7 linked regions of the Canis lupus familiaris genome follow. The protein of the gene in region 1 binds, or shares a complex with, the protein of each later gene. Links are inferred from orthologs where the notes say so. Each region holds a gene or a part of one and is shown on either strand. Other genes may lie near its edges. The genes, in order: CACNA1S, CACNB1, CACNB2, STAC3, STAC2, CACNG1 and CACNB3.

Evidence for each region.
Region 2: CACNA1S (region 1) and CACNB1 share a complex: the UniProt entries of both Homo sapiens proteins name them as parts of the calcium channel complex. The link is inferred for Canis lupus familiaris from reciprocal best matches to the Homo sapiens genes CACNA1S and CACNB1.
Region 3: CACNA1S (region 1) and CACNB2 share a complex: the UniProt entries of both Homo sapiens proteins name them as parts of the calcium channel complex. The link is inferred for Canis lupus familiaris from reciprocal best matches to the Homo sapiens genes CACNA1S and CACNB2.
Region 4: CACNA1S (region 1) and STAC3 share a complex: the UniProt entries of both Homo sapiens proteins name them as parts of the calcium channel complex. The link is inferred for Canis lupus familiaris from reciprocal best matches to the Homo sapiens genes CACNA1S and STAC3.
Region 5: the proteins of CACNA1S (region 1) and STAC2 are in contact, whole or in part, in a crystal structure (PDB 6B27), measured with the Homo sapiens proteins. The link is inferred for Canis lupus familiaris from reciprocal best matches to the Homo sapiens genes CACNA1S and STAC2. Residues at the interface, in NP_000060.2 of Homo sapiens: Glu749, Pro750, Glu751, Ile752, Pro753, Ser755, Pro756, Arg757, Pro758; in NP_945344.1 of Homo sapiens: Tyr301, Lys302, Phe303, Gln306, Glu307, Asp310, Asn326, Asp328, Trp329, Phe340, Pro342, Asn344, Phe345.
Region 6: CACNA1S (region 1) and CACNG1 share a complex: the UniProt entries of both Homo sapiens proteins name them as parts of the calcium channel complex. The link is inferred for Canis lupus familiaris from reciprocal best matches to the Homo sapiens genes CACNA1S and CACNG1.
Region 7: CACNA1S (region 1) and CACNB3 share a complex: the UniProt entries of both Homo sapiens proteins name them as parts of the calcium channel complex. The link is inferred for Canis lupus familiaris from reciprocal best matches to the Homo sapiens genes CACNA1S and CACNB3.

The regions. Positions count from the first base shown.
Region 1 is NC_049228.1:1,869,784-1,874,048, forward strand, and holds the start of CACNA1S (voltage-dependent L-type calcium channel subunit alpha-1S), read left to right. Parts: upstream 1-1,465; 5' UTR 1,466-1,558; coding exon 1,559-1,710; intron 1,711-3,286; coding exon 3,287-3,392; intron 3,393-4,265. UniProt on the Homo sapiens protein: Pore-forming, alpha-1S subunit of the voltage-gated calcium channel that gives rise to L-type calcium currents in skeletal muscle.
Region 2 is NC_049230.1:23,137,233-23,140,732, reverse strand, and holds part of CACNB1 (voltage-dependent L-type calcium channel subunit beta-1), read right to left. Parts: intron 2,760-3,500; coding exon 2,637-2,759; intron 2,100-2,636; coding exon 1,963-2,099; intron 1,745-1,962; coding exon 1,668-1,744; intron 1,258-1,667; coding exon 1,103-1,257; intron 297-1,102; coding exon of another isoform or gene 277-296; intron 4-276; coding exon 1-3. UniProt on the Homo sapiens protein: Regulatory subunit of L-type calcium channels. Regulates the activity of L-type calcium channels that contain CACNA1A as pore-forming subunit.
Region 3 is NC_049223.1:17,855,169-17,859,126, reverse strand, and holds the start of CACNB2 (voltage-dependent L-type calcium channel subunit beta-2), read left to right. Parts: upstream 1-1,158; 5' UTR 1,159-1,189; coding exon 1,190-1,318; intron 1,319-1,658; exon of another isoform or gene 1,659-1,673; coding exon of another isoform or gene 1,674-1,709; intron 1,710-3,958. UniProt on the Homo sapiens protein: Beta subunit of voltage-dependent calcium channels which contributes to the function of the calcium channel by increasing peak calcium current. Plays a role in shifting voltage dependencies of activation and inactivation of the channel.
Region 4 is NC_049231.1:1,726,197-1,728,673, reverse strand, and holds part of STAC3 (SH3 and cysteine-rich domain-containing protein 3), read left to right. Parts: intron 1-231; exon of another isoform or gene 232-446; intron 447-689; coding exon 690-787; intron 788-2,282; coding exon 2,283-2,349; intron 2,350-2,477. UniProt on the Homo sapiens protein: Required for normal excitation-contraction coupling in skeletal muscle and for normal muscle contraction in response to membrane depolarization. Required for normal Ca(2+) release from the sarcplasmic reticulum, which ultimately leads to muscle contraction.
Region 5 is NC_049230.1:23,115,706-23,118,816, forward strand, and holds the end of STAC2 (SH3 and cysteine-rich domain-containing protein 2), read left to right. Parts: intron 1-131; exon of another isoform or gene 132-232; intron 233-291; coding exon 292-429; intron 430-993; coding exon 994-1,098; 3' UTR 1,099-2,611; downstream 2,612-3,111. UniProt on the Homo sapiens protein: Plays a redundant role in promoting the expression of calcium channel CACNA1S at the cell membrane, and thereby contributes to increased channel activity. Slows down the inactivation rate of the calcium channel CACNA1C.
Region 6 is NC_049230.1:13,485,543-13,489,778, forward strand, and holds the start of CACNG1 (voltage-dependent calcium channel gamma-1 subunit), read left to right. Parts: upstream 1-1,436; 5' UTR 1,437-1,602; coding exon 1,603-1,837; intron 1,838-4,236. UniProt on the Homo sapiens protein: Regulatory subunit of the voltage-gated calcium channel that gives rise to L-type calcium currents in skeletal muscle. Regulates channel inactivation kinetics.
Region 7 is NC_049248.1:40,934,182-40,938,443, forward strand, and holds the start of CACNB3 (voltage-dependent L-type calcium channel subunit beta-3), read left to right. Parts: upstream 1-1,462; 5' UTR 1,463-1,575; coding exon 1,576-1,620; intron 1,621-4,262. UniProt on the Homo sapiens protein: Regulatory subunit of the voltage-gated calcium channel that gives rise to L-type calcium currents. Increases CACNA1B peak calcium current and shifts the voltage dependencies of channel activation and inactivation.

The sequences.
Region 1 (4,265 bases):
GGCGGGGGAGATCAGGGGGGCCCTCGCCCACCTCCAACCTCCCACCTCGGGCGCCGCAGGTGCAGCCCCGCAGCAGGTGCAGCCCCACAGCAGGTGCAGCCCCGCAGCGGGTGCAGCGCCATAGTGGGTGCAGCGTCGTAGCAGGTGCAGCCCCACTGCAAGTGCAGCCCGCCGCAGGTGCAGCCCCACCGCAGGTGCAGCCCCATCGCAGGTGCAGCCCCGCAGTCAGGTGCAGCCCCGCGTCTGCGACTCCCTCGGGAGGCCAGAGGTCTTTGGTTTGGATGAGCCAGGCCCTTGCTGTCCCCGAGATGGCCCCAAATGGCCTGAGATGGCCTCAGATACTAACTAGAGTGGGCCCTGGGAGCTTGCTCGCCGCCAGCCCCCGCCCCCGAGGAGCCCAGACACCCCGTCGAGGCAAGAGGCCAGGCTGCTGCCTGCGCTCAGCCCAGCTCTGACCGGGGGAGAGGCCATGTGTGTGCCTGGGTGGTGCCTCTGGCTTTCCTGATGGGGGCGATCGCCCACCGCCACCCCTAGCCCCCCATCCCACCCCCACCCCCATGTAGACTTTTCATCCTTTTTCCCTCCCGGTCGCTCGAGGACTGCGTGTCTCCCCTCAGACTGTGTCCCCTCTGTGGGCGGTGGGACCATGCGGCACTGTTTGTATCAAGAGGCTAAATAAAAGATTTGCTGAGTTTTGTGATCCCAGATGTCATCTACCTCACTCCCCCGATGCCCCTGGGGACTCCCACCCACAGCTCAGGCCCTTGCTGAGGCTGTGGGGCGCTGTTAGCTCTGCGTCCCACTGACCTTTATGGAAAGTGTCGTGCACCCAGCGGGGCGGGGAGGGCCGCAGTCCCGGGTCAAGCCGCCGCCCCTGTCCTGTTAGGCGCTGCAGGGGCTGAGACAGGGTACAAGGCACACGGTCGCTGCGCCGTGTGGCGGGTGCCGGGCCTGAAGTGCGCTCGTTCAAGATTCTTCTGAGGAGGGGTTAGCTTTCCCTGCCGTGCGGTGGGCATGGGTGGGGGGTGTCTGGCCTGGTAGCCAGCCACAGGTTGGGGGACGGATGGGGCTGTGGGGTAGGGTGCTGAACGAGGCCACCCAGCACCTTCTCGGGGGGGTGTCATGGGGCCAGGGAGCGGGGGCAGCGAGTCTTGGCACAGGGGAGCCCGTCTGCAGTTTGATGCCACCCCCTTCCTGAACTCTCTGTGGCCCCAGGCTTGAAGCCTCCCGTCCTGTCTCCCACTGCCCCCATCCCAGGCCCATGGGGACGTTCCTTCCGCCACCCCCTACCAACGTCCTCAGGGACATGCTGGGCTGTCACTGGCCCGGCTGGGAGGGAATGACAGCTGCCTGGCCTCAGAGTCAGGCAGGCAGCAGGGAGCCAGCAGCGGGGAGCCAGCGGAGGCTAATTTTACTTGCTGGGAGCAGGGACAGTAATCCTCCTGCCCCCGCCCCCGGGCTGGCTCAGCAGGGCTCACTTGGCCCCACTGGCCCAGTCCCCACGGCGGGGGCACTGGGGACGCAGGGAGGCGAGGGCAGCGGGACTGCCAGGGGAGCCATGGAGCCGTCCTCGCCCCAGGACGAGGGCCTGAGGAAGAAACAGCCCAAGAAGCCGGTTCCGGAGATCCTGCCGAGGCCGCCCCGGGCCCTGTTCTGCTTGACCCTGCAGAACCCCCTGAGGAAGGCCTGCATCAACATTGTGGAATGGAAGTATCCTTCAGGACCCGCAGGGCATCAGGGACAGGGAGGGGGCAGGGTCACGGATCACCGAGCTGGGGGGCCAGGGGGCTGCTCAGTAAGGAAGGCTGCGGCTGAGGGGGACAGGGACAGCGGGAGGAGCGGAGCCACTGAGGCCTGAGAGTGCTGGGCCCGAGGCCTGCAGAAGGGGCCCGATGTGTCACGGAGGGGGGTCCGCAGGTGTCCCCAAATCCCATTACCGGGGGGCTCCACCGAGGGGTCTGAGGCAAGAGTCTCCTTTTGATACAGGAGGGGAGAGAAAGAGGCAGGGGCCTCTGCAAGACAACTGTCCCCCTTGACGGGAGGGTGTGAGGGCAGAGCTTGCCAGTGAGTGAGGGGAGTCCAGCTGGGGATGGAGTCCAGGGAGACAAGGCCTGGGACAAAGGGCTGCTGTGACGGGCTCTGGGAGGGCGCGGGCCCAGACGCCGGGCGGTCTTCGCCCACACATACCACCCTGGGGACAGGCACTAGCAGTCCCTTTCTCCGTTTGCACTAGCTCTGAGAGGAAGAAGGATGAAAATATCTGGGTTATTTGGGGAAGGGAGGAAGGCGATTAGGGGGAGGGGCTGTGTCAAGCGTCTTCTCAGAGAGAGGTCAGGAATATTTGAAATATTTCTCTAGGGTTCTGGAAGACTGGGCTCCCACCAGCTGTTCCCTAGAAGAAAGGGGAATACGGGATCACTGGGAGGATGAGAAAACCAGGGGACCCATTGGAATAGCTGGGGTCAGAGTCAGCCCTGTTCCCCACAGCTGCACCGCTGCCTCCCTCGGGCCTGTGGGATCGGGTTTCCCCGGGTGGCTTCTCCGTGCTCTGCTCCTCTGCACCTTCTCCTCCGCAGGCCTCTGCCCTGCGGCCCAGCTCTTCGCAATCACTGGGAGGAAGAGGAAGGGGTACAAGCCCAGACCTTCTGCACAATGTGCCTCCCACCCCGCAGCCTGTCCCCACCACCCGCCATCCAATGGCTCGGCCCATGGATGCATGGACACTGCTCACCCACAAGGGACAGGGCCCGGGGGTGGCCCTGGGGAGCGACTGTGAGGGGCACGTGTGCCTGGGAGGGAGGCGTGTGCAGGTGTGCGGTGCACACCCCGGCCTGTGAGCACGGCTGGGGAGGGGCAGGGTGGGCGGCTGACTCATTGCCTCACACGCATTCGTTCCTTGGGCTGGGGGGGTTCAGGCTCCACCCACAGCTTACCCTTTCCCGGTCCTGTTCCCGCGGATGCTCAGCCCCCCGCATCCCTTGCCATTTCTCTGAGTGAGTCCCCCAAGTCGTCTGGTGAGAGTCTCAGAAAGTCAGGGCCCCCAGGGCAGGGCTGGGGATGGGCAGGGCCTGGACCAGTGAGACCTCAGGGCCCCTACAGCTGAGCAGCCCCGAGCCGGGACCCGAGCTTCACACTCCCATCACCGCCGAGCCAAGTTAGCTGTTCCTGGGGAGACCCCACAGGGGAGCGGGGAGGAGCAGCGTGGGCCCCCGGTGTGTACGGTGCCAACCCCTGCCTGTCCCAACCCCACGCCTCACTCGAGGGCTCTCCTTGACCCTGACACTAGACCCTTCGAGACAATCATCTTGCTCACCATCTTTGCCAACTGCGTGGCTCTGGCTGTGTACCTGCCCATGCCGGAAGACGACAACAACACTCTCAACCTTGGCCTGGTAAGATAGGTGCCTCGTGCGGGCCTGCAGCCCCAGGCCGGGGGAGGCCCCCTTGGGGGGCTGCTTGCTGGTGGTAGTACCGGAGCTTCCCACTCACTTGCAGGGCTGGCCGAGCGACTCCTCAGCTCTGCAAGGTAAACTGGCTAATTCTGGATTCCGTCTGACTGGGCCCAGGCACCGTGCTAAGCACCTATGAGACTGGGCCCGGGCACTGTGCTAAGCACCTATGAGACTGAGCTCAGAAAGTGCCACCCCGTAGAGCGGCGCCATCTGACATGCGGGAAGCAAGGCTTGTAAGGTCAGCTACCGAGCGAGGGAGGCGGACTGCTGCTTTCCCTTTCCTGGACACGGTCCAGAAGGAACTGGCCTCCTGGGAGAGTGGGATCTAGGAATTCCCAGAGAGCGCGTGTTTTAGAGCTCTGTGCCTCGCTCTCTGTGCCTCGCTCTCCGCGGCCCATCACCAACAACGGGGACACAGACCACAAAATGCCAGGCCTGGAAGGGATCCCCCGGGATCACGTGGTCCCATCCCCTCCCCGCCTCGCTGGTTTCCGGATGAGGAGCCTGAGCCCCACGCAGGCGAAGCGCTGACCCAACCCAGCAGCTAGATCCTGGTAAACACGGTGACCGTTTCTGAGGCGCCAGGTTCTGTGCTAAATATTTTACGTTATTGTCTTACTTAATCCTCATAACTACCCCCGGGAGGCAACACCATTAAATCCGTGTAAAAGAGAAGGAAACTGAGGCTCAGAGAGTTTGAGTACTTTGCCCAGGGTCACCCCCTCCCCCCATGCAAGTCCTGCAAGAGGGTCTCCGACTCAGGCCTCTCTGACTTTAGGACTTGCCCTCGTGACGGCCGTTGCCAACACGGTG
Region 2 (3,500 bases), on another chromosome or scaffold:
TGTCTGAGGGGGAAGCAGGGAGGGGAAACCCCAGAGTGGAGATGGCATTAGCTCCTCTTCTGCAGCCTCCAGGCTCCCCCATGCACCCTTTCCTCCCTTGTTCCCAGAGCCCAGATGTGGGGGTCGAGGTCAGGGTGGGGAGGGATGGCCAAGGAGAACCAGGAAGGGTGAGGGAAGTGGGGGATGGGTGGGGAGGGCACAAGAATGGGTGTTAGAAGGTCCCACTAGCTCATCCCAGGGGGTGCAGAGGGGGACACAGAAAGCTGTGATACTCACCGACTTCTGCTTCTGTTTGGCTGGGTCCAGAGATTGCCAAGAGTGGGGAGGCAGGGGAGAGAGGGAAGGGCACCCAGGCAGGGGCAGAGGGCAAGGAAGGAGCCAGGACAAGAGAGGGAGGGAGAGCGGACGGACGAGGAGAGATAACAGGGCATGCGTGTTAGTGACAGACAGAGCCAGAGAGAAGGGACGGGACCCCATGCCAAGGGGGAGCCAGAGATGGCCCTAGACCAGGCCTGGGAGAAGGACTGTCAGTCCAGTGAACTTGGGACTATTTGGACATACCCTTCCCCTTTCTGGGTCTTGAGAAAGATCTGAGTAGGGTGACAGCCCCTAATTTGGTGCCCATCTCCTGCCCCTAGTGCAGTCCAACCTGTTGGTTTGAAGGGCTCCTTACACTGTCCTACAGTGCAGCCAGTAGACCCCATGCCCACCCTAGCCCCATGGAGTCCAAGAAGGACAAAGAAGGGTCTCCATTCCACTCTTCCCATCATAGGCAGGAGTGGAGGGCAAACATGGATTATCTCAGCTTCATCATCACCAGACCCTGCTTCCAGGGGTGGTGGGGTAAGGGGGTATGACCTTCCAAGGGAAGGGGTGCTTCGATTGCAAGAAACATCCCTTCCTGGGGGTGGGCCAGAGCACGGCTGTGTGCGGAGCTGGATGTGCCCATTCTTACCATTCCACCCTCCCCGCTCCTTGGCAGGAGGCCCTACTCCCCATGGAATCTGGCCGGTACCGCATCCGAATCCTTTCCAGCCCCTCCCCCTGCCAAAAAGCTGGGCCCTGACCCTCTGCCCTCTTGCCAGAGCCCAGCAAGAATTACCTTCTTGAAGAAGGGGATGCGTTTGCCATGGGGTGGCGGGGTGGTGACACTGCTAACACTAGTCTTGGCAGAGCCGCTCTGCTCCCCGAGCTCTGCCTCCTCGTCGTCTAGCTCTAGGGGGTCTAGTTCAAAGGCTAAGTTAGTCATCTCATTACCTGGACCGCAGTCAGGAGAGAGGAGGGAGGCGAGGTGGGGAGGAGTGGGATGGACATGGAGACACAAGTACAGAAGGCAGGGATGGGATGGGGGAAAAAGAAAGAAGAAGAGGTGAATGGAACAGAGCCAGGAGAAATGAATGGGGGTGGGGCAGGGGAGTCAGGCAGAGAGATGGAGCTACCAAAGAAACGGGAAGGAGAGACATGAGAGAATGGGCGCTGACAGGCCCAGCTTGTGGGGTATCCTACTCTTCACGGAGGGGGTACCGCTGGATGTGTTTGAAGGACTCAGGACTGGGGTGCCCCCTACTGCAGGGAAAGGAGGGGACAGGCAGTGGGGAGACGACCCCACCCAGGAGCCACCCCCCCACCCCCACCCCACGGTTCCCTAAGGTGGCAGCAGCTCTTACCACTGGCAGGGGGTGTGGGGCGGCGGGTGCCAGTCACCACGTCTCCTAGGCTGGAGCTGGAGTTGTCACCTGATTTGCTGTGTGGGCAGAGAGGCAAATGGAGCTGTGAGCAGAGGGGTGGGCGTGAGGTGGGGGAAGCCTGTTCTCTCACTTGCTGCCTGCCCCCCACTCTCCTGGAAATTCTCCAGCCCCACTGGTGACATCACAGGAGGCTGGGCCCTCAGGGCAACGAACGGGTCAATCCTTGAGGCCCAGTCCCAACTAGATGGTCTGTCGGCGTTCCCCAGCTAGACACCTGGAGCTGAGGCGATTCTGACGCAGCTTCTGTTCCTGCAGGAGGCGCAGGCTGTCCAGCTTGACAGGGCTGGGGATGAAGCCAACCTCACAGCCCTCCTTCACCAGTCGCCCAATCCACCAGTCATTATTATATTTCTGCAAACAGCAATAGCAGGTGAGGTGGAAGAGAGCAAGAGAGAGGTTGGAGGGGCAAGCCAGCAGCCGCCCTTGGGAGAAACCACCAGGGACCTGCCAAGCTGCCCAGGGGGTGGCACCTTCAAAGAGCCAGCCCCTGGCACAGCCCCCAGTTCTCAGAACAACTTCATGACCTGAGTTCTCTTGGGCCATGGACCACCCCAGCCCCAGCACATCCCTGTCCCACCATGCACCCACCCTCCTCTGGAAAGATAGCAAGAGGAAAGGAAGCTGACACCCACATATGCCCACACACTGCCGCTCCACTGACACATCTCATCACAAACCCTCTCAACAACCGTGTGACCTAGGCATTGCCACCGCATTTACCAACGCAAATCAGAGAGGCTCAGGGAGGTAGAGATTTGTCTAAGGTCATACAGCAGATTCAGCCAAGCTCTGTTGGGTTCAGAAGTCTTTTTCCACTAGAGCTCTGGCTGTCCCTCTCCTGATGCCCACTACCCTGCCCTCCTTCCAGATATGAAGCGCTCACTCCACCTCTTTGATGTGCAGAAAGTCCTTGGGCTCAAAGGTGATGGCCACTCCCTGCACTGGCACTTCATCCCCTGGAGATGGGTTGTAGCCGACATTTGTCCGCACAGCAAATGCCACCGGCTTGGTCTAGAGGTGAACAGGGAGAATGACAACCAGAGGGTTAAGTCAAGATGTACCATCCTGGGGTAAGGATGATGTGAAGGTTTGTTTTGTTGATCATTAACAAGTATACTGAATGATTTAAGTAGTTTTCCTGTATGTGCATTAAATTTTACAATAAAAAACAATAGAGGGGATCCCTGGGTGGCGCAGCGGTTTGGCGCCTGCCTTTGGCCCAGGGCGCGATCCTGGAGACCCGGGATCGAGTCCCACGTCAGGCTCCCGGTGCATGGAGCCTGCTTCTCCCTCTGCCTGTGTCTCTGCCTCTCTCTCTCTCTTTGTGACTATCATAAATAAATAAAATTAAAAAAAATAAAAATAAAATAAAATAAAATAAAAAACAATAGAATTCAGCCTTCTCAAGATGGAGGGGGCCACTGAGGATGGTAAGTATTAGCCTGGAGTAACACCCAGAAAGAATATTAGTAATAATAATAATAATAATAATGACAGCAGAGCGTCTGGGTGGCTCAGTCAGTTAAGTGCTGCCTTTGACTCAGGTCATGATCCCAGGGTCCTGGGTTCAAGCCTCATTTTGGGGTTCCCTGCTCAGTGGGGAGTCTGCTTCTCCCTCTCCCCCTGCTCATGCTCTCTCTCTCTCTTGCTATGTCTCAAATAAATATAATCTTAAAAAAAAAATAACAGCAGCTATGGTTTACTGTGCTAAGTACCATGTGACATATTTTACAAACATTACCTCATTTATTT
Region 3 (3,958 bases), on another chromosome or scaffold:
GAGTCTCACGTCGGGCTCCCTGCATGGAGCCTGCTTCTGCCTCTGCCTATGTCTCTGCCTCTCTCTCTCTCCTCTCTGTGTTTCTCATGAATAAATAAATAAAATCTTAAAAAAAATTATATACCATGGCAAAATAGAAAAGGGAGGTGAAACCTAGAGGAGTAAACTTGTGTATGCACGTTTCAGCACCCAACCCCGCAGAGGCTGTACTGTTACAGAACAATACCGATGCCTGGAAGGCTCGCTGGAACCAGACGCATCCTCCCTCTACCGGGCAACGAGCCTCGGCCGGAGTATCCACACGGAGTGCTGTTGCAGCGACAAGTTGTTGCTACATGCACTACACCCTCTTTACCAGGAATTCAAGGTAGTAGAGAGGTGCTTATTTTGTCCCAAACGTGATAGCAAGACTCGTCTACTTTGCAGGAAAAAAAAAAAAAAAAAAAAAAAGTAGAGGAAAGCAGGGCTGCTTGGCAGAGGGAAGACACACAGGGGTCGGGAAGGGAACCTCGGGGCTGGGGCTGGGGCTGGGGCTGGGGGGGCGGGGCCTGCAGCTGGCGGTGGAGGCGGCGGCGGGCTCGGGCGGGACCGCGCCCCCCGGGTCGCCGGGGTCGCCGGGGTCGCGCGGGCCGGGTCGGCTGGGCCGCCCGCCGCCGCCCGAGGCCTCCGCCGCAGCCCGGGAGCCCGCGCCATCCGCGCTCCGGGCCGCGAGGCGGCTTCCCGGGCGCCAGGCCTCGCTCTCGCGGCTTTGAAAAGTTTCCAGCGCGCGTGCCACGGCGGCGGGCGGCGGCTGGGCCGGAGCCCACGCGGCCCGCGCCCCCCGCGGGGAACTTCGCGGCGCTCGGCCGCCCTGTCACTCTCGCTTTCCGACGCGCCTCCCCCCGGGCTCGCGCGCCCCGAGCCCCCGCCCCCGCCCCCCGCCCCTCCCGCGGGGACCTTCCCGGGCGCCCGCCGCTCGCGTCCCCGCCGCCCCGCGCTCCGCCCGCCCCGCCCCGCCCCGCCCCGCGCCCCCCGCGCCCGCGCCCGCGCCCCGCGCCCCGCGCCTCGCCTCCCAAGCCCGCCCGGCGGCGTCCCGCGCCCGGAGAGCGGCCCCCGGAGCGGGCAGCGGGGCGCGGGGGGCGGGGAGCGGAGGGGAGGAGGGGACCCGCCGCCAGGGGCCGGCTGCTAGCTTCCAGCCGACTTTTCGCCAATGGTCCAGAGCGACATGTCCAAGTCGCCTCCCACAGCGGCGGCGGCGGCGGCGGCGGCGGCGCAGGAGATCCCGATGGAGCTGCTGGAGAGCGCGGCGCCCGCGGGGGCGCTCGGAGCGGCCGCACAGGTAGCCGGGGCCGCGCCTGCTCCTTCTTTGTGAGCCGCGGGGGCGCCGACCCCCTCCCCCTCCCCCTCCCCCCTTCTCCTCCGCTGCGATCCCTCGCCTCGCCTCGCCTCGCCTCGCCTGGTGCCCCCGACCCCACCTCGCCCGCGGCCGCCCACTCTCCTCTCCCCGCGCCGGGGACCCTGCCCTCGTCGCCGGTCCCCCCGCTCTCCTGCGGCTTCCATCTTTCTCCGCTTCCGAAAAGCAAGTGGGAAGGGGCGGGGGAGACCCGCCGGGGCTCAGAGGCGGCCCCCGGGAGGGCGCCCGCTCAGCCCCCCCCCCCCCCTCGCCCCTTCCCGGGAGAGGCACATGGAGAGACATGAACCAGGCGAGCGGACTGGACCTGCTCAGGATCGTGAGTCGGGGCGGGCGGGAGGGGCTCGGCGCGCACGCCCACCCTGGGGGCGAGTGGGAGCCGGGCTGGGCGGGGGGCGCCACCCTGCGCCGCGGCCCGCACCCCCGCCCTCCGCACCTGGGCGTCCCGCCGCCTGGACGGCCGCGCTGCCCTCGCCTCTCGCCGCCGCTCGCCTGCGCCCCTCGCTCCTCGCCCTGCAGCCCGCGAGCCGGGGGCGCCAAAGTTTGTCCGTGCCCCCCCCCCCCCCCCGCCCCGGAGCGCTGGCCAGGTCCAGACAGCTCGGGACCACCTTCCCGGCGACGGGTGCTAGCGGGTTCGCGGCTCCTGGTGAAACAGGAGATGCCGGTCTAGGCGTTGGGCGATGATAAGGTGGCGGCTTTTACGTAAGGCTTTGGCAGGTACAGTTTGGATTACAGACGCCTCCAGGTCTCCGCGGTAAGGAGCCTCTCAACTTTTATCCTGGCAGGGCAAGGACTCCAGACTCCCGGCTGCGGGGCTGCGGGGCGAGGGCTGGGAAGAAAGAGGTTAGGGCTCTATTGCAAGCATCATTTTGGAAAAAAAAAAAAATCTCTCTCCTTTGCGATATGGGCTTGTTGATTTCATACCTGTATTTGCTGGATTGTAAATGGGGGTGGTTACGTATTTCTGTATTTACAAAAAAAAAAAAAAACCTTATAAATGTGTTATTTTATATTTATATATGCTCAACAGATAGCGGAGTATTTGCTGTAGCAATGGGTGCGAGAGTAGGATTCCCTAATAAAGGTTGCCAATATCTTGTTGCCTTTCTTGTTTTGGTAGGGGATGGAAATGGACTGCTCCAGATATTTTGATACTGTTAATAATAATGGTCATTCCAGCGGCATAATCATGGAGCTTTAGTGAGTTTTTTTTTTTTTTTTGACCACTGGGAAATAACCTTGCTAACTTAAAATACATAATTCACTTTGATTTGAGATGGAGGAAAAATGTAGAAACCAACAAGTTGTGTAATCAGAAACCCATTTCTTTCAGTAGGACAGTTAGATTTTAGTCGGCCTTGGGCTGTTTGGCTGCTGAGCCAGAGGGAGGACATGTAACTAACCACCTACATTTCCATCTAGTTTCTGCCAGGGGACCTGAATTCTTACCAGCACATGTCACGTTTGTTCTAGACTCCTGATTTTATCTAGACACTTAATCAGGTTAGATGAGAGGAGAAATGTACTTAGAGAACTCAGTTATTCCAGGATGAAGGTCTTGACTTTTGATAGAAGAAAAGACTTTGAGACCCTTTTTTTTCCCCCTTTGATCTTCCTTCCTTTGGGGATTTTTTTGTTTTTTTAAATTTTTATTCTTCTGATAAAAACAGTTCCTGAATTCCTGGTGATCAAAGTTAAGCCGACAGAAAGTGTGACTGCAATTAGATAAGTAAATACTTCATTCACGTAGTGATTTATGTCATTAAATGCAAACCAACAAATATTTGTTGTTAACTGCAGTGTGGAAATGATTCAGATGTGAGGAGACAGCGCTGCTGCCTTCAAAGAACTGATATTCCGGTGGCTGCAAGTGTGACAGACAAATGACAGTTGTGTGGTAGAGGACTATAGGGGAAGTACTGGTTTCTGGGGAGTAAAGATCACAGACATTCTATACGGAGTAATCTCTAAGGGCTTCGTGGAAGAGGGGGCTTTCGAGAAAAGATTCCAAGGATGGGTGAGATTTGATCCGAGATTGTCAGAGAGATGGTGGAAGCCATATAGGAAGCAAAGTCACGGAAGTTGTAAGTCTTCTATTTATCACGTGTAGCTTGAAGAGGGTGTGGAAAGGTACGGATAGGGCATAGTTAGATGTAAGACCGACAAAACAATTTGAGGCCACATCTTGGAGGCGTTGGAACCTGGGTGTAATGAATGATCGGGAACCACGAAAGGGGTTCAACCAAAGAGTTATGTAACAGCTCATTCAGAAGATTCACCTGGGAATGTTCTGGAAGGTATTTTAGAGTTTCAGGAGTGCAGAGGTGGAGCTGCCAGACGGGAGATTGGTATAGCAGTTTGGACAAGAGATAACAAGGCCTAAACTAAAGGGAGAGGCAAGATAATGGATATGACAGGCCCGTGCATGGGACACTTCAAAGACTCAATGGACGGGAACTGGCAAGTGAGTGCATAAATACACGAGAGACAGGAAAAGGGGAGGAAAGGCTATTATAAGCAGGTTAGAGGTATAAATATTCAGCTGCACCCGCATCCATCTCCTTGCTT
Region 4 (2,477 bases), on another chromosome or scaffold:
AAAGCCAAGACTGAAACCTTCATCTGCCTAGCTTCAAACTCTGGGCTCTTCATATGTAAAACTATGTCTAAGTAAGAACAAGGATTCTTGACTGTCCTCATCCTTGTGACAGAGTAATACCAGTCTCAGGGCTAGACCAAGAGCTGTGGGCATCCTGGGCAGATTCATAATTTGGCAACCCTTACAAACATATTCGTTGACAATTTTACTCAACATTTATTTGGAGGAGAGGCTGATCTTTATGAGGAGCATGGGTGGAAAAAAGAAGAACCCACTGGTGGCAGCACTCCAGCTTGCACATGCCACTCAGCAGAAAAGCCAGCAGTTAAAGGACCACTCTCCTTAAAAGGAGAATAGTGATTGTGAGCATTCCCCAACTCCCAAGCAACTTATTAGCAAAGTTGTCTTTCCAACATCATATAATGCTCTGCCTGGAAGGAGTGCTGGTAAGTATTTTTCTCCATCACATTACATTCCCAGTGATGTTTTTATAGCTCTTTATAGATTGATGACCTAGATATGCCCAGCTGACCCCACCCTAATCCTACACACACACACACACACACACACACACACACACGTATCCGTCTACTTAATCCCACCTCTCCCTTACTTAGAAGGTCTCTCTTTCCTTCAAGTCTTTCTCTGCTTCCCCAGTAATGGCTTCTTTCTTCTCCCATTCCCACTAGCTGCGGCCAGTCACAATGATCCTGTGTTTGAAACCTTGCGCACTGGGGTGATCATGGCAAACAAGGAACGGAAGAAAGGACAGGCAGATAAGAAAAATGTGAGCACCATACCTTCCTCTTGAGGTCCCTCCAAGAGATTCCGCAGAGCAGGTCCTGTCTCCTCTCTGGAAAGCTGACAGAAGCTAGGGATTCTCTTCCCCTAAAATTGCACATAACCCAACAAATTTTTGCATGCAATTTTAGAGAGCCTTGGGTTGAGAATTCCTGCCATAGCATGTGTTTTCTCTAGAAACTCCCTTCTGGAATTGTCAGATTAAGCACCATAACCTACTGAAGGTTAGGTCCCCAGGCTCCTGGCATTGCTAGACAACAGAGGCAAGAGCCATGCTTTTGGATTTGGGGAAGCAAACCTATCATGCCAAGCAATCAATTCTAGAGCCATGAAGGGTCCATGAATATCATCTGAACTTACTCACTTATCCTATAGATGAGGAAACTGAAGCATTAGGCTAGCACCCAAAAGCAACTTCATTTCCTTTCGTAATAGGGTTACTAGTTTGGTGATGCCATAGACTTGCATTCAGTTTGGCAAAGAATTTGTTAGCATATCCTTATATCTTTCTGGAAAACCAGGATGGACTGATGTGGATAACAGTTAGTTGGAGTCCTAAAATTGGATGAATGACTATGCCCAAAGAATCCAGGTCCTTTAGAGAGTGCCTAGCTAAAGGGAGATTTCTGATACCTTATAACATGAGTTGGTCCTCAGTACTGATCTATAGAGATTTTTCTCATTGATACAAATGAATATATAAATAGTATTATCCCTTAAGTCTGTGAGAAACCTAGGAGGGGAAACTTATACACTGAATAGTATATTCAAATATTTTGAGACTAGAAGAAAAGCTCAAAAACAATAATTTGAAGTTTTGTAAGGAAAATGAACATGTCTGCTCTTGGATCAAAGAAATCAACTGTACAAAAACTGTAGGAATTGGCTTCTGAGTAGTTGATATGGAAGTTGGGTACAAATTAGCGATTTCTGTAGAATGAACTAAGACTTACAAGGCCCTAGCAATGTGATTTGACTGCTTTCAGAAAGGCAAGCACACTCAGGTTCTCTTCTCTTAAGGGAATTATAAAAACCATGCTGCCCATTTTTCTCTTACACACTGGAGTATTTTTAAGAGCAGACATAGTAAAAATCCTAGAATCGGCATCATGGAGGAGGGGATGATTTAAAGGGACTATGTTCTCTGTTGCTCCAGAGGCCAAATCAGGACTGATGACTAAACGTTACAGGGAGACTGAATAGGTTAAATTTAGGGAATTGCCCTCAAATTGCATGAGCTTACTTTGTAAGGTAGTGAGCTCCTGTCATTAGCTGCATTCAAGCACAATGTGGATGGTCCACCTGCCAGGATGTTTTACAGGAAGCTCAGGCATTAAGCTGGTGGTTGAACTGGGTATTTCCTCCAAGGCTCCTTCCAATCCTGAGATCCTATTATTCTATAGTTGGCTGGCCTGGCTGGAGAGCCAGGGCAAGCATGGGTTCCCAGGAGAGCATCTTCCTAACTCTTGTACCCCCTCCAGCCTCTAGCAGCCGTGATGGAAGAGGAGCCAGAGCCTGCCAGACCAGAGGAAGGCAAACCCCAGGATGGTGAGTGTCACCCACCTCCATCCCTAGAAATGGAGTAGGATCAGGGGCTCTGCTCTGGTACAGGGAATGGAGGGCCAAAGGGTATGCCAGTGTTTGAAGATAAAAGTGGCTCTGCAACAGAAGAGTAA
Region 5 (3,111 bases), on another chromosome or scaffold:
ACTGCCTCACCTTCTCTCCAGGCCCAAAGACCTCCCCTCCTTCAGCCTTGGGCCCTAGCCAAGCCTAGGACCAGCACTTGGGACTTGCTCTCCCTTGGACCCTCCCTGCCTCAGCCTGTCCCTCTGCTCACCTCATGCCCTTCTGAGTGCAGAAGCCACCTTACTGGGGGTTCGGATACAGGAAGTCCAGGATCTGGTGTTTGATGGCATTGGCTCAGAATGGGCATCAAGTCTAGAAGAAGCAACGTGGGAGGGGGTGGCACTGGTGCTCATTGCCAGCCTCATCCCCAGGGCAAGATTGGCGACCGGGTTGGCTTCTTCCCAGCCAATTTTGTGCAGCGAGTAAGGCCAGGTGAGAACGTTTGGCGCTGCTGCCAGCCCTTCTCTGGGAACAAGGAACAGGGGTACATGAGCCTCAAGGAGAACCAGGTGAGTGCCTGGGCCCTGCAGCAGCCGGAGAGGTGGGTGAGGGAGAGAGGCAGCAGGGGCACAGGTGAATGCCCTGGAGGAGGACACTTGTAGCCTGACAGCAGGAGGGAAGGCAGGTCAGAGAGGTGGACTGCAGGGCCCCCCTCTCATCCCCCCCTGGGAATTGGGGCTGAATTTGGTTAGACACAGCCTGGGGGAGGGGAAGAGCACTAGATTAGGAGTCCGGAGGCTTGGGTTTGAATGTTGGCTGTGCCTCTGGCTTGTGTAAACCCCCGATAAGCCCTTTTCCTCCCCTTAACCTCCCCTGTGACATGGGTGTTTGGCCGGGGCGTTAGGCCAGCTGGTCTCAAAGGTCAGCCCCAGAGTGCTGCTCCGGGTCTACTGATCTTGCCACCGTGCCCAGTACCCTGATAGGATCTACTCCCTTCCCCCCAGCTGATGTCTCCAATTTCATCTGCTCCTGGTCCCGTCATCCCCTGGGGTGGCCCCCTGGGAGCCCTCAGCAGGACTCAGGGCCAGGGCTGTAGGCAGAGCCAGGACTCAGCTCGCATCTCTCCCACTCAGATCTGTGTGGGCGTGGGCAGGAGCAAGGATGCTGACGGCTTCATTCGCGTCAGCAGCGGCAAGAAGCGGGGCCTGGTGCCAGCCGACGCCCTGACCGAGATCTGAGCGTTGCCCAGAGAACCCAGCTGCCACCCCTGCCCATGCCTGGCCCTTGCTTCTGGCCCCGGGAACAGGAACAGGCATCTGCCCACACTCTTCCTCCCTCCACCTCTCCTAGGGGCCACTCCCCATGACTTGGGAGCCTTCTGCACGGAGGAAGGTTTTATTTTTGGGGTCCCAAGGTACCCCGAGGGGCTTGCTCCCCTGGACTTAGGGGTGAGGGAGGAGGGGACAGTGGGAGGGAACAGGGAAGCTCCAGGTAGGTCCAGCCACTGCCCAGACCCCACTCCCCAGTTGCCTTGCTGAGTGCAGCCCTGGGCAGGGGGGTGTTCCTGGGGAACTCTCCTGCTGCTTTGTCCAGAGGGCCTTCCCACTTCCCATGTCCACACCACCTTTGCATGCCTGACACCACTGCCCTCTCCCCGCGGAGCCCCTGCTTGGGTCTATGTGCGTGTGACCCTGCGGCTGTCCCTTTGGAAGGAAGTGGGGCCGAGTGCCTCAGTCCTCCGCCCCGGGGGTTCAGGGGCGGTGGGAGGGGATTTAGGACTGCAGGAGGATCCTGAGTCCACCTGCTGGTTTCACCACCTCTGTCACTCCATCAATTCTCAGGAAAGTTCTGTGGGAATCTCTCCCATTACTTGAAACCACGGGCGGACAAAGGAGGGGAGGGCCGAGTTCTGGGGAAAGTGTGGTAGATCAGAGACCGTCTCTTCAAGGAGAACAGTCACCACAGAGCAGCCTCATGGTACCCTTATCCACTGGAGAGGGACACTCCAGAATGACTTGCACCCAGAAACCTGACTGAGAACAAAAAACTAGCCTATGCTTAGAACCCTCATTTCACTGTCAGGACTCTAGAAGTCCCTGGTGGCAGGAGGCAGGGCTGGCCACCCAGGGGAGCCTGTGCTGCCTCCTGTCCTGGGTATCACAAGGCCCACCCCAGGAGTCCTGCCTCAAGGCTGACCAGGCCACTGCTCTTCCTCGCCCTCTCCCTCTGGGCTTTGCAGGAAGCACTGGGACCCCTCCTTCAGTGCAGGGGACCCTTCTGACCGAATCTGCACCCTTATCCTGGACAGAGAGTCCTGGGAGGAAGAGGGAGTGCGAGATGGTTAAGGCAGGCCAACAGTTCTGTTTGACCACCAGGAAAGGAGGGGGTAGGCACCCTGGAGGGGGGGGGGCGCACACAAAGAGGACCCCTCCCTTACAGGTTGTTTTTCTCTGGTGCCAACCTCCCTCTCCCCTCCCAAGCTCAGAGCCTCCTCTTGTGCCCTTGATCGTGCCAGCCAATGCCAGCCCCCACCCTGGGCACAGTCACACCCTCCCATACCCACTAGCCCCTGCTCCACTTCTCCCCCCTCGGAGGGGGGCTCAAGCCACACTGCCCTGTTTGCTGCCATGAGGCCCCCCCCAGCAATATCCCAGGGGCGGGCCCGATGCCCACTGTACATGAGGCTGCATGATGGGTCTGCTGGGGCATTGCTGAGCCCCCAGACCCTTAAATAAATGTTTCTTGTCCCAATCTGTGTGCTCTGTGTGTCTGCTTGGGAGAGAGGATGGAAAGGTGCAAGGAGTGGGGCGGGGGCTGGAGGTGCCAAAAGGAGACTAGCTTGGAGGGGGAAGAATTTGTGGATCTCTGAGGGGAGGGGTGCTGGGGTTGGCCCACACTCGCAGGGGTCCCCTTGCCTTCCCCACTCCCTCCCACCTCAGCAGCCTGAGATGGGGATCTGGGGAGGAGTTTAAAAGAAAAGCTTGGCAGGGGTGTGGTGGAGTGGGATGTCGCCAGACGCTGGAAGGGGAGAGGGTACCACCGCGGTCACATTGTGGCTCGAGGCACATCTGCGTCGGCAGGGGCCAGGCACCCAACTATGCGCATCCACACAGCTCTGCCCACCCAGGGTGCCCTCCAAGACCACCCGAGATCAGCCTCGCCCCCGCCACCCGCCAAGCCGCAGGCAGAAAGGCTGGCGGCGGGGACAGTCGCCGCCAGTGGGGCCCTGAGATGACTCAATCACGGCCGTC
Region 6 (4,236 bases), on another chromosome or scaffold:
ATGTGGAAAGGTTTACCACAACACGTGATATACAATAGATACACAAGATGCGCGGTTCCTATGATTATCGTTATTATTAACAGTCTGTGACTCCAAGGCTGGACGCCTGAGTGCTTCTCCGCCCACAGGCAGAGTATTTCTGTGAGCTGTGTCAGCCTGAGGCTGGGATTTTGAAGTCAAAACCCTGCCCAGCTCAGGGGTCTATTCTTGGCCACACACTAGCCTCTTGGATAGACCCTAGAAGAGGCAACTGGTCAATTGATAAAGAAGAGATGCAGAGGGGCGCCTGGGTGGCTCAGTCTGTTAAGCATCTTCCTTCGTCTCAGGTCATGATCTCAGGGTCCTGGGATCGAGTCCTACATCAGGCTCCCTGCGTGGAGCCTGCTTCTCCCTCTGCCTATGTCTCTGCTTCTCTCTTTGTGTCTCTCATGAATAAATAAAATCTTAAAAAGAAAGAGAGAGAGAGATGCAGAACCCAGGAGGGATCCAGGGGCTCGAGCCTGGGGTGGGGGACATACGGGCTCGCAGGACTCTCTGGGGGCCATCCCAAACTGTCCTCTGTCCTCTGCTGTGTCCACACACCATCAGCCTCTTCACAGTTCCCTGCCGACCAACCCACTTCTGTTGTTTTTAACTTAAATATATTTATTTTGTAAATGAAAACAGAACTGGCGAAACGTTAATAGAAGTAAAACTCAAACAGTAAAATAAAAACAGAACGACAGTCAGGTCCAGCTAGATTCCTTGTCCTCTCCAAGCTAGTCTTTGATTCGCAAGCATCAGAAAGGTTAGCTAAAGACTTCCTTTCCTTCTGGACCCAGTTGAAGGGGTGGGAGGAGAATTGAAAAGGAAAAAGCATTCCCACGCCAGGCACAGTGCTGGGTAATGCCAGGCCCAGGAACCACCAGGAATCTTCCCGCAGTTTAGGGTTGTGCTAGGACTTGAGGCTAAAGCCAGGGAGGTGGGCCCCTGGTGGTTCTGGTGGAGGAGCCCCAAGATGTCCCCACGCAGGCTCCTGCATTCCCCAGACCCCCAGGACAAGGACCCACTCACACCCCTTTGCACTGGTGACCGGCCTGCCCAGTGTGGGAGCTGGGCTGTGGTACCTGTGTCCCGCAGGGTCCCCTGCCGTCACCCAGCTGTATCGCCTCCTCCTGCAGCCCAGAGCAAGCACATTCCCACACATCTAGTATCCCTGTGGCCTATCCCTCACTGCCTCCAACTCAGGTATCCTGAGCTGCTAATCGTGGAGATCCCAAGTCACCATCTAGAGCCTTCTCTCCCTGCCCCTCCTTGAGGTATTTTAGGTCTCAGGAGGGAAAGAAAGTCCTGAAACCCGAGGAGAAGCTATCCTCGGTGACACGCCTGGGATGTGCATTAATAGAAGCCTCCCTCAGGCCCCTGACACGTCTGGGCAGCTGCTCAGCCCCGTCTGGTGTCCCTCAGCCCCGAGGCCAGCCCACTCTGGCTCAGCCGGACGCACTAAACTTAGCTTCCACCCCCAGCTCGATAATCACCGCCACCTCCCCAGCCTGGCTGCCACCTGCGCGGGACACACTGCCACCAGACTGTGCCCAGGGCACCCACTCCTCCGCCACCACCATGTCCCAGACCAAAGCGCCGAAGGTCCGCGCGACCCTCTTCTGCATCCTGGTGGGCATCGTGCTGGCCTTGGTGGCCGTGGTGACCGACCACTGGGCCGTGCTGAGCCCCGAGGTGAAGCACCACAATGCCACCTGCGAGGCGGCCCACTTCGGCCTCTGGCGGATTTGCACCAAGCGCATTGTCATGACTGACAGCAAGGACAAGACGTGCGGACCCATCACCCTGCCTGGGGGTAACGTACCCACCCTCTGACCCCATCCCTGCCTCCTGCCCTGCTTCCTGCCCCTGGAAAAGGTGCCGCTGGGAAAGAGGGCAGGTTTCCCTGCCTCAGAGCAGAGATCGTGCCCAGCCTCGGTGCCCAGGGAAGAGGATCCGAACGGCCTCTGTCCTACTGGCCAGGGCCGCTTGTAAAGCCAGGGCGCCTGTCCCTCTTTCTGTCCCGCAGAGGCTCCCGGCCTTCACCCTGAGCAGGGGGCTACCCACCTGGGCCTAACAGGCCTGAGGCCCTGGCCCCCGCAGTGGCCACCCTTCTGGGTGACCCCGCTTTCCTTTCTCCCTGCACAGACAGGTTCAGTGGCCCTAAGTCCTCAGGCTGCAGGGACATGTGCGGCTGGCACGGTCACTCCCCAGGGTCAGCCACCAGATTTGCACAGCATAGCGCAAAATGAAAACGCAGGGCTCTTTGTGAATATTTTTAAGGATTTCGAGATGGTAACAGTGACGCACGGAGCCGAGTGTGGGTCCCTTCTGTGTGCAGGGCCTTGGTTGACCGCAGAAGCCACACATCTGTAAAGCAGGGCCCGGTCGTAGACGAGCCTCCCGCCTTTTGTCAGAACTGTCACACCTGCACATCCTCTCTTAGCTCAGACCCCTCGGAGCTGGGATGCGTGTCCTCCTGCTCTGATTTCAGTGCGTTCCCCAATTTTCCTACCCTGTGACCGAACCGCACATCCGAGGTGAGCTCCTCGTGAAGGATCAGGGTGGTATTAGGGTGACCAGTCTATGCTACAAATGCGGAGCCCTCCACACTCATAGCGAACAGAGCACACGCTGGGGAAAGAGCCCTGCGTGGAGAACCAGAGGACTGGGCTCTGCGTGCATTGCCCACGACACTCCAATGACTCTGGGGTCCACCATGCCCATTGCGGCCTCTGCTTCCCCCTGTAAAATACAGTGTTCGGGCTCTGCAAAGCCCCTTTCAGCCTTTACAAATGGCACCGTAAGGTGACAGTGGGCCAAGGCGAGTACAGGGACCCACCTGCCTTGCAGAATTATTCCCTCTGTTATCAGACTGGGTGTTCCTTGAACCCAGTTCCTTGAACTTTCAAGGAAGTCAGGGCTAAGTCCCCAGAGATCTTGCAGTCTGTGCATGGGACAAAGGAGCCCAAACCCCATTCCTCTACTTCTCCTTTTCCTCCTCTTTTCCCTCCTGCTGGCTCTAGAAAACCCCTGCCTCGCTCATTCCCCCTGGACACACAGAAGACTCGTAAATACCCAGCTGTCTTAGAAACACTGCGTCCCCGGGCCGAGGGCTTTAACAGACGTGGACATGTGCTTGAAGGGTATCACGTAGCTCACATGTCCGCGCTCCTTCAGCCCCGGCCCAGCACAGCCGTAAACAGATGCATCATCCAGCCAATTCCCATGGGTGGGGCAGGGCAGGGGGAGGCAGATTCTCCACGGACCACGCATGGGAGTGCCCTGCCATGGTCCCGTCCACCTGTCCTCAGAGGCACCCACCTTTTAAAGTCTGCTGAGTTTATAGAGCAGATGAGCAAGGAGGCGAGGCAAGTCCATACAAGGAAGGGACAAACTAGCAAGAGGTTAGCTGCACAGGCCCGACAGGCATGGTTTGGTCCTGACCCTGACCAGAGTCTATCTCTACGCCTTCTTGCCCCGCTCCAGAGTGAATCATACCTCCCACGCTTGTGAGCCCAGCCCTACCCTTGACAAGCTTCTGAAGTATGTGCCAGCAATCTCCCCTCTCCTTTCTCTGCAGATGGACACCTTCCCCACCCACCTTTCCTGTGCTCTGTGGGGTTACTTTTTTCTAGAGGGAGGAAGAGAGTGCATACATGTTCTCTCGCTTATTATTAATAGCAGTAATAGGGACCGCAAACACAAATCTGCCAAATATTGTTTTCAGTGCCTCCCATCTTTTAACTTTGAATGACATCAGAAGAAATGGCAGGGTAAGAATCCCCCTAAATGTCTTCTCCATAAAGACAATGAGAACTCTAGCAAAACACGGTCAGAACAAACCTTTTCAGAACCCTGGACACTAACGAATCTTGCAGCAATCCAGTGAGTGCTTATTCAAGAAAAACAGGTGAATCTGAGTCAGAATGGTGAGTTTTGTGGTGCTTTAACTTGCTCTATTTCTGTTCCCCACTCCCCAAGTCTATTAGAGCCTTGAAAACCAATAGCCTGCAAACAGTGTAAATTTAGCCCCCAAAGGGGACAGATGGGGCTGGATCTCATTCAAAGCCTCATTCCCAGAGAACTGTCATTATTTGATCTGCCTGGTGGTTCCCTGGAAGTCCCCACTTGTAAGGTTGTCTTTATTTGACCTGATGCTGAGCTCACTCAGTGGAAACAGTCTTTTTCTCAGGGGGCATTTGGCAAAAACAA
Region 7 (4,262 bases), on another chromosome or scaffold:
AAGCGATGAGGAGCAGATTCCCGATTCACTCTCCTGGGTGTGAGAAACTGGGAGTGGGGAAGGCCTGAGCTCAGAGGGGCTCCAAGTGGAACCCTCTTTCTGTCTCACCTCCTCCTCTGGCGGGGGAGTGCGGCAGGTGGGTAATCAACATTCAAAGGAACAGTGTTGCTCAGGAGATGGAAGAAAGGAGGGAGCTCAAATGGGTGGATCTTTGGGGAAGTTTATTCCAGATAAGGGCTGCTGCTCGGTCTCTAACCCCACATCTCAGTGCTCCCTGGAAGGAGACTGACTGGTACAGCGCGGTACTGAGGCTCCAACCAGGATCCGGGCACCCCACCCCCATCCTTTCTCTAAGGAGGGAATCTGGCCTGACACTAGTGATTGGGTCGTCTTGCCCTTCCTTCCCCCTCCTAACCCCAGGGCGGCCGGGGTCCCACCTTCTGTCACGGCTCCCACAGTCCCCCTACCTCCACCCTCCGGGTTCTTCCCTCCTCCTTCAGGCTCCCCTAAAACAGCCCCTCCCTCCCCCAGTTCCCACGGATGCCTTGGCAATGCCTGGCACAGTCCTTGGCGAGGAAGGGAGGAAGGGAACCCCCATCCTGGCCAGACTAGGAGGGAATCTGCTCGCGCAACAGGTGTGGGGCGGCGGGACCCAAAGCCTCGCCCTTTGCGCGGGGTGGGCGACCTGGTCCTTGGCTGCAGGGTCCCAGCAAGGAGGGGGCCGAGCACCTGTCCGGGCCGGGGCCACTTTCACGGCAGTGGCCTGGGGTCGCCAAGCCCGTCCGTCCCCAGTGCCATCGCGGGGTGTGCCCTCGGAGTCTCGGGGCCGCCAGGGCCCAGGCCGGCCGCCCGGTCACCTGGGGCCCCTCCCCAGTCCGCCGCCCGTCCCCCGCCCCCGCGCTCCCCCGGTCTCCCCGGTTTCCTGTCTCCCCCTCCCTCCCCCGGCCTCGACCCGTCCTCCTCCGCCCGCCGCCTCCCGCCACCTGCGCCCCCCGCGTCCCCCGCGCGGGCGCCCCCTCCCCTGCTCCCCTCCCCCGCGCCAGCCCTTTGTTTCCCGGCGGAGTATTTCCTGGGTTGCCGAGCGTCCCCGTCTCCGCATCCCTCCTCGCCCCGCCTCCTCCGAGCCTGGGTCCGCCCCGCCCGCAGTCTCTCCTCCCCTTCCTCCCCGCCGCCCCGGTGCCCCGTAGGTGCCCGGGGACCCACCTCCCCCGGCCGCCGCCGGCCCCTCGCCCCGCCGGCCGCGGGCTCCGCGGCGCCCCCCGCGGCCCCCGCGCCCCCGCCGCGCGCTCCGGGGAGGGGTCAGGTGGGCGGGCACTATTGTTGTGGGAGCCGGAGCCAGATTCCTCAGCCGCGCTCGGGGTGGGACCGGCAGGGCTCGGGGGGTGGGGAGGGGAGCGGCGAGCGGAGCTCCGAGCAGCTGGTCTTCGCCGCTCGCTCCCTCCTTCGCGCTCTCGCTCCGCCGCCGCCCGCAGGGCTGCGGGGCTCGGTGGCACCTCGGGCGCGGCCCGCTGTCCTCGCCCCTGCTCGGGCTGCTCCCGCCCCGGCGCCGCGCGCTCCCCCCGCCCGGACTCCCCCATGTATGACGACTCCTACGTGCCCGGGTTTGAGGACTCGGAGGCGGTGAGTGCCCACGGTCGGGGGGGGGGGAGTTGGGGTGACTCCTCTTCTGCCTCGGACCCTTCCCCGGGTCAGGACTCCGAAAAACGCCCCAGTGCAGGGGCAGGGCGTGCAGGGGGGCGCTCCTAGGAGAGTGGGGGGGCGATCTTCCTGCCGAGGGCTTGCCAGGGCCCCAGTCCGAGAGCAAGGGGCACGGGGAGTGTGCCCGGCGGGGGGAGCGAGGGGGGCAAGGCGCAAGCAGGTGGCTCGGGCGCCCAGGACCGAGGGGTGGAGGGAGGACTGAGGGCGGGAGGCCGCGGGAGGCCGGCGCAGCGCCCCGAGGTCCCCAAGGGGGCTGGCCGGGCCGAACCCAGCAGCTACCGAGAGGCCGGGCTCTCTGTCTCTCTCCAGGGGGGCGACAGCTCAGACCTCCTGTGCTTCAAGTAAAGGACAATTCAGTCAGGAACCAGCCCCAGGAGGATCATAAACTTGGGGACCTCCATTATTCCCTCGGTTGCCCGAGCACTGCCTCGCGTCCTCGCCCTGCCTGGCCCAGCTCCTCTGGCAGGCTGGAAGCTGGGCACCCAGCACATGGGCCAGCTGACTAAGCCCCATGCGTTCCACGCCTCCTGCCCAGGCATCCTCAGAGCAGTGGGCTCGAGCTCCTGCTCAGCATGGAGGGCCCAGGGCCTGGGGATGGAGAGGAAGCGCTGCCTCCCAGAACCAGGCAACTGATAAATATTTAATTCTCCTCTTTGCTTTTATCTCCTGACCCACTGAGACAAATCAGCTCATTAGGCAGTGATTCCCGGAGCTCAGAGAGCAGGGAAAGTGCCTGGAAAGATGGGGCAAGGATGGGGAGCAGCTTCTCCGTCCCTTGTCTCAAACATCCTGCATGAAGGCCTCCTCTGGAGAGGACCACTAGGTGGCCTGGAAGGCTCCCTGATAGGTGTGGAGGGTAGAGCGCTCTGGTCAAAAGGGGAGTATTTGCGTTTTCTTCAGACTCTTGCCAAGCCCAGGGTACAGGAGTTCTGGGGTTCCGAGTGGGCGGCTCTCCGTCCTTTTCTGGGACTGGGCTCCTGCTGGGCCCAATTCCCCATTGGGCCTCTGGGGCTAATTACATTGCAGCTAGAGCAGATGATTTGCAAGGCTCTGGTGGACACCTCTTTCTGACAGTTGAAGGGACAGCTGGCACGGCCCAGGGTGCCAAGGTGAGCTTGAGAATGAGCCTCTCTGAGGGGATGGGAGGGCCCTAGAATGTTCTTCCCATCCCCGGTGAGAAGGCGAGGGCTGTTGCAAGGTAAAGACTGACATGGGGATGGTGCCGGGGCAGCCTGCTGCCCCCTCCTCGGCTCCCGACCCCTCACTGGTTCCTGGATCACCCTCCCCCACTTCCCTTTCTCTTGCCTGGCTCCTTGCTCTCCCTGAGGCCCCCTCTGAAGCAGTAGGAGGGAGATCAGGCTCTAAATAAATCCACCGGCTCATCTCCCTCCTCTCCTTCCCCCGTGCCAGGCAAGAGTGGAGCTGCAGCCTGCCCACACACTCACCAGGCAAGGGGGGCACCACCAGGGCACTGTGCCAACTCCTGGCAGCTCCAGAAGTACTGAGCCTCTGGCTGTTTTGGCATAACAGGGGGTGAGGGAGGCAAGACCCCAGAGCGCACTTGGCAGGGCAGCCCTGGCCTCCCAGGTGATACCAGAGCATGAGAGATGGCTGAGCTCTGGGGACTTGGGGATAATGGAGAGGGGGTTCCATTCCGAGCACAACCCATTAAACCTTTAGGGGGAGATCCTGTCATTTCCGTCCTGAGGTGAGAGGCCAGGTGACCCAGACGCCCCAGGCAGGGACATTAAGATTACTAAATTAGACGGAGAGCCCGTGGAGCAGAGGGTGAAGGTCAGACCCCTCCTCAGGCATAGGCCTGGACATCTAGGAGGCATCTGGTAGGTATTTATCAACTTGAGTGGTCATCCCGTCTTCTCTTGCCTCCTTCCCCTTGGCCCCTGTTCACTTCAGACAGCCATCTGCCATGGCTCCGACCCCTGAAAGGAGGTCCCCCGCTCCACTGACAGTCCAGAGGTTCTTCCCAGGGCTCAGCGGCTCTTGACCCTGCTGTCAAGCCAGCCTTACTTTGTTCTCAGGAGAGATGGGGACTAGCGGGCTGACTCTACTCCTCTGTAAAACGAAAGACTTTCCCCCCTTTGTGCTACCTTCATGCCTTCCATCTACCACAGACACTGTCTTTAGCTTAGGCTCCAGGCCCCAGGGTTAGCATCAAGCTGACCAGCGCTCCTGCTGACGGTGGGGCTGGGGCAGAGGGCCTGGGATACGTGAGCTTGTGTTCCCTACTGCGAGTCTGGCTTCAGCTGCCTTCTGTGAGTGGTCATGCACGGTGAGCTGGAAGGAATGTTCCTCAGTCGGAGGATATTCTAAAACCCCTTCCCTACACGCACAACACACTCCCACGTGGACCCCTCATCTAGACTCCGATCTTCTCTCTGCCGCCTGCACCTCAGAACTGATGGAGGTACCTCTTCAGGCTTCTGATCATAAGGGGGAAACTGAGGCAGAAAACAAAAGATTCCCTTTCCCCAAGGCATCCTGACTTCTACCCTCCCGTCCTGAGGTCCAGCTTCCCTTGCTCATTTGTGCGTCTCCCGCAGAGT